2 linked regions of the Caenorhabditis elegans genome follow. The protein of the gene in region 1 purifies or fractionates together with the protein of each later gene. This does not show direct contact. Each region holds a gene or a part of one and is shown in the gene's direction. Other genes may lie near its edges. The genes, in order: R09E10.1 and mam-3.

Evidence for each region.
Region 2: the proteins of R09E10.1 (region 1) and mam-3 fractionate together in Caenorhabditis elegans (co-fractionation; one large-scale study listed by BioGRID). This does not show direct contact.

What each region holds. Positions count from the first base shown.
Region 1 is NC_003282.8:10,318,529-10,324,370, reverse strand, and holds R09E10.1 (LEDGF domain-containing protein), read left to right. Parts: upstream 1-1,620; 5' UTR 1,621-3,317; coding exon 3,318-3,613; intron 3,614-4,019; coding exon 4,020-4,098; intron 4,099-4,194; coding exon 4,195-4,266; intron 4,267-4,315; coding exon 4,316-4,537; intron 4,538-4,620; coding exon 4,621-4,792; intron 4,793-4,844; coding exon 4,845-4,888; 3' UTR 4,889-5,032; downstream 5,033-5,842.
Region 2 is NC_003282.8:13,442,204-13,447,333, reverse strand, and holds the start of mam-3 (MAM domain-containing protein), read left to right. Parts: upstream 1-1,958; 5' UTR 1,959-2,067; coding exon 2,068-2,209; intron 2,210-2,928; coding exon 2,929-3,056; intron 3,057-3,487; exon of another isoform or gene 3,488-3,589; intron 3,590-3,832; exon of another isoform or gene 3,833-3,950; intron 3,951-4,018; coding exon 4,019-4,185; intron 4,186-4,573; coding exon 4,574-4,836; intron 4,837-5,075; coding exon 5,076-5,130. Other genes in the region: uso-1 (Uso1_p115_head domain-containing protein), read left to right, coding at 1-42, 466-609, 1,159-1,302.

The sequences.
Region 1 (5,842 bases):
AATTCAGTATGTGTTTCGTCTGGATCCGAAAAAAAATGAATGTATTATTTGTCATTTCGATCGATATGATGACAAATGCAACAAAAAAATCTTAAAATAAATTGGCTGGAATACAATGTAAAGTTACTACATACCTACTTTTAAATGAAAACGACAGAAAAATAACAAATTAAAAAAATTATCGGTGCAAAATTTTACTGTTTCATGTATATTATAAGAATTTTCAAAATTTAAATAAAAACGGGCTAATTGTGAGTTCAAACGGATCCATTATTTCCACAAAGCATTATTTTGATAGTTATTTTCAATTGTGGATTTTGAGAATAGGATTTAGAAATTGGAAAATCAACAGTTCAGGTACAAAATTGAGGAATTAAAAGAAATTTATGTAAGTACAATGACAAAATCTACACCGTTTTATGAAGAACATGAAACAAGTCATATTTTACTTTAAAACTACTGTGTATTTTTCTTTGTCAGCAGGCACTGAACACGTAATCTATGTCCAGAAAAAATTGAAGGTTTATGAAAAAATTTTACATATGATTCCGGATAACCTAACAATTGCTCACATTATGCAGCACAGGCAAAGCGGAAAGTGCCCAAAACGGTCCGTTCACGGACCGGGAACGGCTCAAATTTAAGAACAGTTCACGGTTCGATTCCCGGTCCGTCAACGGACCGTAATTGAACCGTAAGGAGACTAAAAAATGGGAAAATTTTTTCACCCTCCAGCTGCCCCTTTTTCTTTCCCAATGCTCCACCGAGCTCCGGTCTTGCTCCAGACCGTCTTCCGGTGATCCTTCGTTGTAGCAATTCTATCTGCCTCAGCCGGGGTTGAACTTGTCCACTGCCTGTCGATTGATTACTGGCCCATCACCTTACCGTTTGGCCGTTCGCGCACGCGAGGAAAATCAATAGACTTCGCATAAATAGCAATCAGCTCGCGCTCGCGCATTTTCTTCTGGTTTTCACGTCTTACACCAACTTTTTCGATTGTATTTTCAGTAGTTTCTGATTCTCCATCTTGCCGTTGGACTTATATGAAAGCGAACGATAACAATTGACAGTTTCGTGTAGTTCAGAACTTATTTCGCATATTTCTCAACATCTACCTATACGTGCTCCATCTACTTGTAATACAGAAATGGTACTTACATATTTCCTCTATTAGTCTTGCATGCAAGACTAATTTTCGATTGGACCGGGTTGCAATACTAATAGACGAAATAAGGTATATGCGTTCTACTTGAATGATACCTTAATTTCTTAAAATACACACGGAACAGAAACGATATGATTCCAGAATGTATTGTTAGTAAAATATTTCATGATATTTCAAAAAATGCTCCTGTTGCTCAGCTGAAGAAGACCAGCAGAGAGAGTGAACGTTGCGTATACACAGTATCTACCCAATTGTGGCATTTCATCTTTTTTATTGATATGTTTATAGGATTACATTAATATAACCTCTTTTACACACAATGTCATGCTTAATAGCCTCAGTTAGATCGCATGCGATTACGGGCCGTGTACGGACCAGTTGGACGGATGATAGACAAAATGGTTGCCCAGAGGAATTTTTTTTCATGAAAATGGAGTTTTTGAAGTGCCTACACTCTCCTTTGGCTAATTTGAGCACTTTTTCCATGCTAGAACCTGAAATTTTCAAAAACAAAAATTTGGTGCCCGGGACGGTTCATTTACGGTCCGTCTACGGGCCGGCGACGGACCGTCTACGGACCGGAAACGGCCCAACTACGGCTCAAGAGCCATCTCGGTCGGTAAATGTGGTTTTTTCTCTAAATAATGCATTTAACGACGTAAAAATGCTTGAATTAGCCAACTGGTATCATAGGTATTAAAAAAAATTCGTTTTCTTAAAATCCATTTTTTCCTCTTAATGACCATTTTTTACATTCCCCGTAGTTTGCCCGTAATTGGTCCGTCCCGCTTTTCATATCCGTAGTTCGCCCGTTAATGGTCCGTTCCCGGTCCAAGATCCGTAAACGGACCGTACCCGCTTTGCCTGTGGCAGAGTGAGTGCAAGACTGAAGTGGTAATTATGAAGATTGATATTGAAACTGGAGAGCACACAGGCTTGGAGCCATTTTTGAGAGAATTCTTTGTTGTTGCCAGTTAAGCCCATTTTATTGAAATGTTTTTTTTTAAGTAACTATAAACCTACTTTTAGGCAAAACGACAGAAAAACGAATTTCAAAAAAAACTTCGAATTAAAATTTTACTGTTTCATGTATATTATCAGAGTTTTCAAAATTTGAAATTAAAATTAAAACTGTTCTATCTTCCTTTAAACACGATTTCAATTGAAAAAAGTCAAGCTTGTTCGCCTGCCTCGCGCCTTCGTTCGCGCCTTCGGGTCTATTTTTTACTGAGAAAAAAACAGATTTTACTGAGAAAAAACAGTTATACTTTTCAGTTCATGTCGAAAAAGGGAATGAAGTTTCTTTCTCGTTTAGAGAAGGAGATCGCCGCCAATCGAAGAACTTGAACTTTTTTAGTAATTCTTTTTTTATAAAATGAATGTTTGGTTGGAATAATGAACTCAGAGAATATCAAATTTCAGTTTCATAAATTGAACTTACTACAAATTAATCTTTGGCATTTGAGAGTAATCATCCGCCATTGACTGATTTCTTTGATTCGAATCTTCTATTTCGGTTCTTATACTTTTCAAGAGTTATATTCAAGTACTTTGTTGTCGTTTTGAAAGTCATAGACCACATTTTAACACTAAAACTACAATTATCAAATATACAATCTCGATAATTTTTTTTTGTATTTTTCTAGTCCAAATAGAGCTTTTTACGTAGACAGAAATACAAATAACAATGTGTGGAACTAAAAGCAATGTGGATGCAATACTAATAGGTACATCACCGTAGTTTTCAAACAAGACAGAAATCGCTTTAAAAAATTGGAGGCCGTTATATTTTACATTTATTGTCTATTATCAAAAATCTTTCCAAGAAAAAGACAGAAGAATAAAGCAATGATTTTCAAAAGTAACACCTTTGGGTGTTTACAGCAAAGTGGGCCACCTGGCACTTGACTACATGAAGAAAGTTGTAATTTGATTTGTTTTCTTACATTTCTGAATTACTATTTGCATTAAATAATTCTTGAATAATTTATGAACGTGTTGTTCCGGATAATGATATATATCCTCTTTTACGTTCATAGACGAAATTCAATTTATTGCTAACAAATTAGAAATCGATATTCAGATTTCCTGGAGTCAGGTAAGCTAAACACAGGGTTTTTAAAGGAAAATGGTCATGTTTTCTAGAACACAAATGACAAGTCCTGATGAGCACTCACCGGAGAAGAAAGATTCAGAAAACGAAGTGGTGCCGGCGGGGCCAAAACAAAAGGCAAAGTGTCTTGAGAAGGAAACCAAATCTCCGCCGAAACCATCAGATTTATCGAAAGCTGAAAGAAAGGAAAAGAATAATAAGACTGCAAGAAGAGATGTGAAGAGTTCTCGAGGAAATGTGAAAACCATGAAGCCATCTGTTGTTAAAGTAGAAGAACGATCGTCTCGATCAAAGAAAAGTATTCGCGAAGGAAAGCTGAAAAACTTCTCCCTTCCGTATGTATTTTACTCGACACTTTTAGATGTTTGTTGGAAAGGAAGCCGTCTTTCTGGCATGTGCTAAATTATATAAATATTATGAAATGAATTCCACTGGCACAAGTTTATGACGTGGTAGAAAATTGGGTATCCTTGCAATTTTTTGAATACTCTATCATTCTAGTTCATTAAAACAACTGGATCACTGATTTTTCAATCCATAGTATGGATTGAAAAAAAAAGGATTCCATACATGAGAGTCCACGCGTTGCCAAAATTACAAAATAACAGTAAATTGAATGTTTTATTTTAAAAATGAAATATTTTACGAATTAAAAAATCACGTTTTTAGTTTTGATCTCACTGTATTAGTTTTGGACAAGCAAGGCGGGGTCAGAATTTACTTTAATACAAAAAATTTCAGGAAAGACGAACCCGAGATTACTGCTCTGCAACTTGACGCCGAACTTACAAAGAGTGCTCGTTTGATGGAAGAATACAAGGTTTGAATGCAAATTTACTTTCACTCTATTTTCTAACTTTTGGTTTTTACAACAAAATTATTCCAAAGAAACTCATAAAACCTTGCTAAATTTCAGATTGCCCTTGAGCAAATCATCACAACACTCGTAAGTATGATGAGACGTGGAAACGGGACGGTTGACATGGAAGTAATATACATTCTACTTGAATTATTTCGCTCAACCACACGTATTTTAGAACATTGTAAGCGACAAAGGACAAACGGCAGCGGAGAAGCTGAACAAGGAAGTACAGTTGACTCAAAACTATTGGAAAACGGACACAAAGTTGCAACCAGCAATGAACGATGCAATTGCAAAAAATACTGTCGTTCTGGCAGCAGCTGAGAGAAATTTGCAGACTCAAGGGCCCCAACATCTCAAAAGAGTCAAGAAGTTTCTTTACGGTCAATATCCGAAGGTTTGTTATCAGGAATCAATATTCAAAGCTCTAGTTTCTTCAGAAGTTTTTCATAAATGTAACCATAAAGTTTCACCTTTCAGTATGTGGATATGAAGAGAGACCTGCTGAAAATTGTCAAACAGCAGAAGCCCGAAGCCCAAAGTGTTCGCGATGAAAGTGCTCAAGCGATTTCGAAGTTCATCAAGGAAAAGTATGTGAATGCCAAAATATATGCATCTCGGAGAAATTCAAAGTGCTTTCGGCGAGTTGAGCGTTAGTTTGTTTGATTTTAAATATTATATTTAAACACAAATTATCATTTCAGTTTTTCCATCGTACATCCGCTTTTACTTGGCATCAAATCGCTGAACGACAACCTCCAAAGTCTTCATATCACGCCGAGAACTTCGACTTTCAACAGTTCTTCACAGCACCTCCAAAAATGTAAACTGTGACGTCACCAATAATTTTTTATGATGATTTATGATAATAAAGTGAGAGACGGAGAGAAATTTGTGTGTATTCAGAAGGAAAAAACATAAGTAAATACAGGAAAGAAGAAAAAAAGAATATATATTCGATTTTTTTAACGATATCATTGAATTTCTGATTTTTCAATTTTCAAAGGAACATTGGATAGAACAAACTATATGATATCTGGAAGACCAAAATGTGACATCATATTAAAAGTAATGAAATAGGCGGTAGGCACATAGGCAGGCAGGCGTGCAGTAGGATCACGAAAAAAATACAGAAAATCGGCGACATGCATGAAGGCAGGCATGTTGGCATTCGGCAAGTACGAATGGTAAATAAAATACTGAAAACACGATGTAGGAATGAAAGCCTAAAAGTGCCTGGATATAATTGAAGCCTCTTTGAAGTTCAGTAAATATACGTTACCTGTAGAATTCAACATTTTGGCCAAGAATTAGTTTAAATTAATATTGGATAGGGCTGCTTAGGCAGCAACCTCACAGCCCCGTAGTAGCACAGTATTAATAACATCCCGTGTCAATTTTCATAAAACTGAATATAAATTGGGTTGATGTTGCTAAAGGGCTGCGAAAAACTGAACTGGGATGAAGCTGGGCTGCAAAGGGCTGCGATGGGTTGCGACGGAAAATAGCTACAGTGCTAAAAGGGGGCTGATCCCAGCCCCTCAGGACAAAGCTCATACCCTTCGCCCTTCGCAGTACAGCTTCAGCCCATTTCAGCCCTTTACAGCCCTTTAGCAACATCAACCCAATTTATATTCAGTTTTATGAAAATTGGCACGAGATGTTATTAATACTGTGCTACTACGGGGCTGCGGGAGCTGCT
Region 2 (5,130 bases), 3.1 Mb from region 1:
CTCGGATTTGGATATCAGGCATTCGAACAGCAATCACAAACGGTATGGTAGACAGGAGATTTTATCAGAAAATCGAAAAATCGAAAATTTTCGTTTTTTCGAAAAAAAAATTTGTCGATTTTTCAAAAATTAGCTTAAAATTTTGGTCAGGGTTCTTCTTTTTTTGATGAAAATATTTATTTTTTTTCTCATCAATAAAACAAAAATTTGATTTTGTAAAATCATATTTTGTGGTTAATTTTCGGAAATTTTTTTCGATTTTCCGGAAAATCGAAAAATCGAAAAATGACACAATTGGATCAAAAAACTAAACATTTAAATCTGCGAAAATCAAAAAAAACCAAAAAACAATTCGATGCTTAAATTTATTCGAAAAATTTTTTTTCGGCTTCCGTTTGGTCTAAAATAAAAAAAATAACCAAAAAAAAATAAAATAACCATAAAAATAAAATTTACATATTTCAGATGCTCCACTATACATCAGAGAATGCAAATCTTAAAGATAGACTCGCGAAAACGGAAGCTGCTCTCGCTGAAGCCAATTATAAAATTGAGCAATTGAATTTGAAGCCAATTTCGAATGGAATAGTTGTGGAGCACGAACCACAGGTAGAATTCGAGTGGAATTTTCGAAATTTCAGGAATTTCTAGAAAAAACACTGAAAAAGTATAATTTTATTGGAAAAGATGGAAAATCTTACCAAAATTATCGATTTTTTCATTAAAAAATCGAAAAAATGTGTAAAATTTCAGTTTTTCGAAACCTTGATTTTTTAACAGATTTCTTTTTTTTAAGAAGGAAAAAATATATATATATATAAAAATAGTTATATATTTGAGGTTAATTTGAGCAAAACTTGATAAAATTTCAATTTTTTTTTTGAAAAAAGCTGAAAAAATAATAAAAAATTCTAAAAATATCAAACACTTAAAATATAATTTTTCTATGAAAAAATTAATTATTTCGTTTTTCAAAAAACTACTTTTAAATTTTGGTTCGATTTTTTCTGAAGAAATTATTTTTTGCTACAGATTTTTCATCCACTTTTTCATTTTTTTTTCAATTTTCTCTGGAAAAAAACTAAAATAAAAACGTTTCGATGAGTAGCTTTTGAGCTTTATCTCAGTGAAAATAATTCAAACATTTCAAATTTTCAGGCTGACTCCGAAGAGTTTTCAAAACTGAAACAAGAACAAGAAGAACTTCTGATGCTTCTCGCTGATCAACACAATAAAATGTCAGCCTACCGACGCCTTCTTCGAAACCTAAAACAGCCAGTGACAGATGATGAGGACGAGTAATAAGGCTGTGGGATTACTAAAAATCGGGTTTCTTTTTTGTTTTCTTTGGGGGGTCAATCTTGTCATAGAACATGTAATACTTCCAATCAACTTTTCTTTTTTTAAATCGAATAGGTTTCCTGTATAATATTTAATTTATAACGCATACACCGTACTTTCGCAGGATTTTTTAAGTGTCTTCTTAAAGGCGCACAGGTTTTTTTCAGATATGTTTCGGCTTTCTTGTTTTTTTTTCTCAAACTGATTTAAAACAATTTTTAACTTATGTGATAAATGCAAAGAAAATAAACAAAATTAAATACCATAAAAATTTTTTTGGGCTCGCCGAGACCCATAAAACCGTGCGCCTTTAAGAAGACATCTCAGAGATCTTGTAAATCTACGATATCGTATTCGCCGTGATTTTGCTGGCAAAATATTTTCTTCCTGTTTTTTTTGTATCCCTACCTACTCTTTCCATTTCGTTCAAACCACACTGTCTTCTGTGATACCGAAATTATGTTTTTTTTTTCCTTTCAATTTTATTTATGTAAAACTTAATAGTAAATATGGTCCAAATAAATTATTGATTGATTCCGAAATCCATCATTCTCTCTCTCAGGTTGAATGGGGATTCGGTGAATGATCAAATGATATAACGAACCCGTCTATTCTCCATATCAATAGTGATTCGGAAGCCGGTTCGTTCCTCTCGCCTGCTTCTCCTGGCCCGCGCATCTGCCATTGTTCTTCGCCTGTACACACCCTTTTTGCCTCTCGAAAATAATGATCTGGAAGAAATTTGCACTTTTGCTCATTTTTCTACCATCTCTAGAAGCATGTCATGCTCAATTTCAAAAAGAGCTTCGATATTTAGACTTGTATCTTGGTATTAGGCCAGATAATAATGGAGAGATTCCTGTGGAAGGTTGGTTTTTTGGTTTTTTGAAGGAATTTACTGTTTTTTGCTCCGAACGAAAAAAGTCTAAATTTTCGATTTTTTGGAAAAATTCAATTTTTTTTCAATAATTTATGGCCACATCCCGATTTTTTAAAAATGTTTTTTTCAACATTTTCCAGTTTTTTTTGGATTTACTCTGAATTTTGACGAGATTTTTTTTTCCAAAAATTTAAGCTTTATCGGAAATTTACTTGATTTTGTAGTTCCTTATTAAAGGCGCACGGAATTAAAAGTTCGCGGTAGTTTAATTTTTATTTAAACTTTGAAAACTGATTGTCAACGATTTATTACAGCTGAAAACCATGTGATTTCATTGAAAAAAAATACAATACTACATCCAATGAACAAATAAAACTACCATAAACTTTTTTGCGCGCCGAGGCCCGTCTGAATAATTCCGTGAGCTTTTAATGAAGTACTTCAAAATCTACAGTAGTACAGTAGTAGTAAAATTACGGTATTTTATCCAGATTTCGCTAATATTTCGCTAATTTCTGTAACAAAAGTATGTAACAACAATAAATCAGCCGATTTTTACTTTCATAAAAAATCTGGTTTTAGATTCGTTCTTAAAAATTAGTGATAAATAAGCAATTTTAATGTGAAGTGTTTTTTTGTTTTTAAACAGCTAAAATTATCAAACCACGAGGATCTGCAAAAAAAAACCACAATCACGTGGATTTCAGAGGCCGTTGGATTTGCCACGTATATTGAGTCACCTGATGAACTCAACTGTGACTTTGAGACCGAATGTCTTTGGAGAAATGCGCCGACTGATAAGCTTTTGGATACCAGTGATTGGTGGTATTTTAAGGTTTGTTATTCATGAAAAACTTTCCTTCAAATGTCTTGTGCCATTCTATTCTTTTTTTGGAATATAAAACCTTTTCTGAGTGGGTCTTGTCACGATCTCAGTTATAGATTTCGCTGAATACAAACTTTGAATGTGGTATAATTGTTCAATTAGAAATAAAAATGTATGTGAAATTCCATATCCTACGCTATATGTAGGCCAGGGTATAATATACAATATTTAGCTTTCAGTTTTGAGACGAATAATATGTAAAAGATACCAACTAATTTTGGCAACTAATTGGTTTTATGAACTAGTTTTAACTGAAAGTTTCAAAAAAAAAACATTTCAAAAACTCGATTGAAAGTGGCAACATTTCGAGAATTTATTCAGACAATTCAATTATACAGTTCAACTTTAGAACCATTGGAAAGTTCACCAAAAATTATAGAAAAAATTTGGAACGCTTCACGAATTTGCGTGTCATCCTTGCGCAGGGGCCATGCTAATCTTCTCTGTATTGTTCCAATTTTAGTATATGTTCTCGGAAGAACGAACAGTTAGATTTACATTTCAATTATATAGGGACCATTTACACAGCAGCTGACATATTTGGAGTTATGTAAGACACTATGACTATGCTAGGGAAGTGGAGATGCAAATCGATATTGGTATCGCTATAGAATAGGTGCACAAATTATTGATCTACATCTACATTTGGTATAGTGTCTTACATAACTCCAAATATGCCAGCTGCATTGTTAATGGTCCCTATATAATTGAAATGTAAATCTAAATGTTTGTTCTTCCGAGAACATATACTAAAATTGGAACAATACAGAGAAGATTAGCATGGCCCCTGCGCAAGGATGACACGCAAATTCGTGAAGCGTTCCAAATTTTTTGACGATTTTGTTAGACAAATCTATAAATTCTATACTTACAATTTTTCAAAACTTTTTTAAAAAATTAAACAATTTCAGAAAAATGACGAGAAAACTTTCCCAGTTCAAATCCAGCCCGGAAATCCTGTAATTCCAAAAGGCGAACATTTTATAATTGCTGGAAATACGACGAAAAATCCGAATGGAGCAGTGTTGAGCAGTGCTCCAATTGCTTGTCAAAAAGGATTTGCCAACTTGACTTTCAGGTATTGTCAAAGATAATTTTAAGAATTTTAAGCACAAAGTTGGAGGGCCTAAATTTTTTTTGAAATAAAATGTGTTTGCTCTTCTTTGAAAGCTTAGATCTCTACTGTCTTTGCATTTTTTTTAATATGTAAAAAACGAACTAAGCGTTCTTCTATGATTCAATAGTTTGAAAAATGCTGATATAAAAAAAAAAAATCGAAATTTTTAGTAATCTTTATATGACGCACAATTTCTCGTTTTTACTACAAAAATATTGCTATTTAATATTTTCATATTAGATTTGAGTTGCCTGAGTAAAAGCTCACAAAGTATGCGATCGGCAAAATACTGTGCTCTAACTAACATAGATTCCAAAATAAAATTATAATCCCAGTTATATCCTTCTAGCTTCTGGCTATACAACAATGCTCAAGTGGAAGTTATCATCCTTCGAGCAATGAATCGTAGACGTCATCTTCAAGTCTTGCTCAGACCAAAAATGAAGTGTGATTTCTTGGGAGCCGCCAATGAGGAATGTCGTGTCGAGATTCCGCCGATTAAGGAACCGTTCAGAATTGGAATTCGAGCATTTGATCTCAAAGATAATACTGTTGGAAGTTTGGCAATCATTGATCATATCAGATATCACGGAAAGATTTGCCAGCAATCACGTAAGTTTTAAAGTTATTCGAGATATGAAGCAGTCAAAATCAAATTGGCGCGCAAAAAAAACGATATTTTTAATCCTTTTTTAAAAGATTTTGTTCTGTAAATTTTTCAAAATAAAACTAGATTTGTTAGAGAAGTTTTAAACTTTCACTGAACATCCAGAAAAATCCAATGCCTCACTCTTCATAATCTAACAAAATATCTCAATCACTCCCATTTTACCTAAAATTAATTATTCCAGCATTCCCATCATCATTCTCATCTCTTCGTATTCCTCCATATGATAATAGTCCACT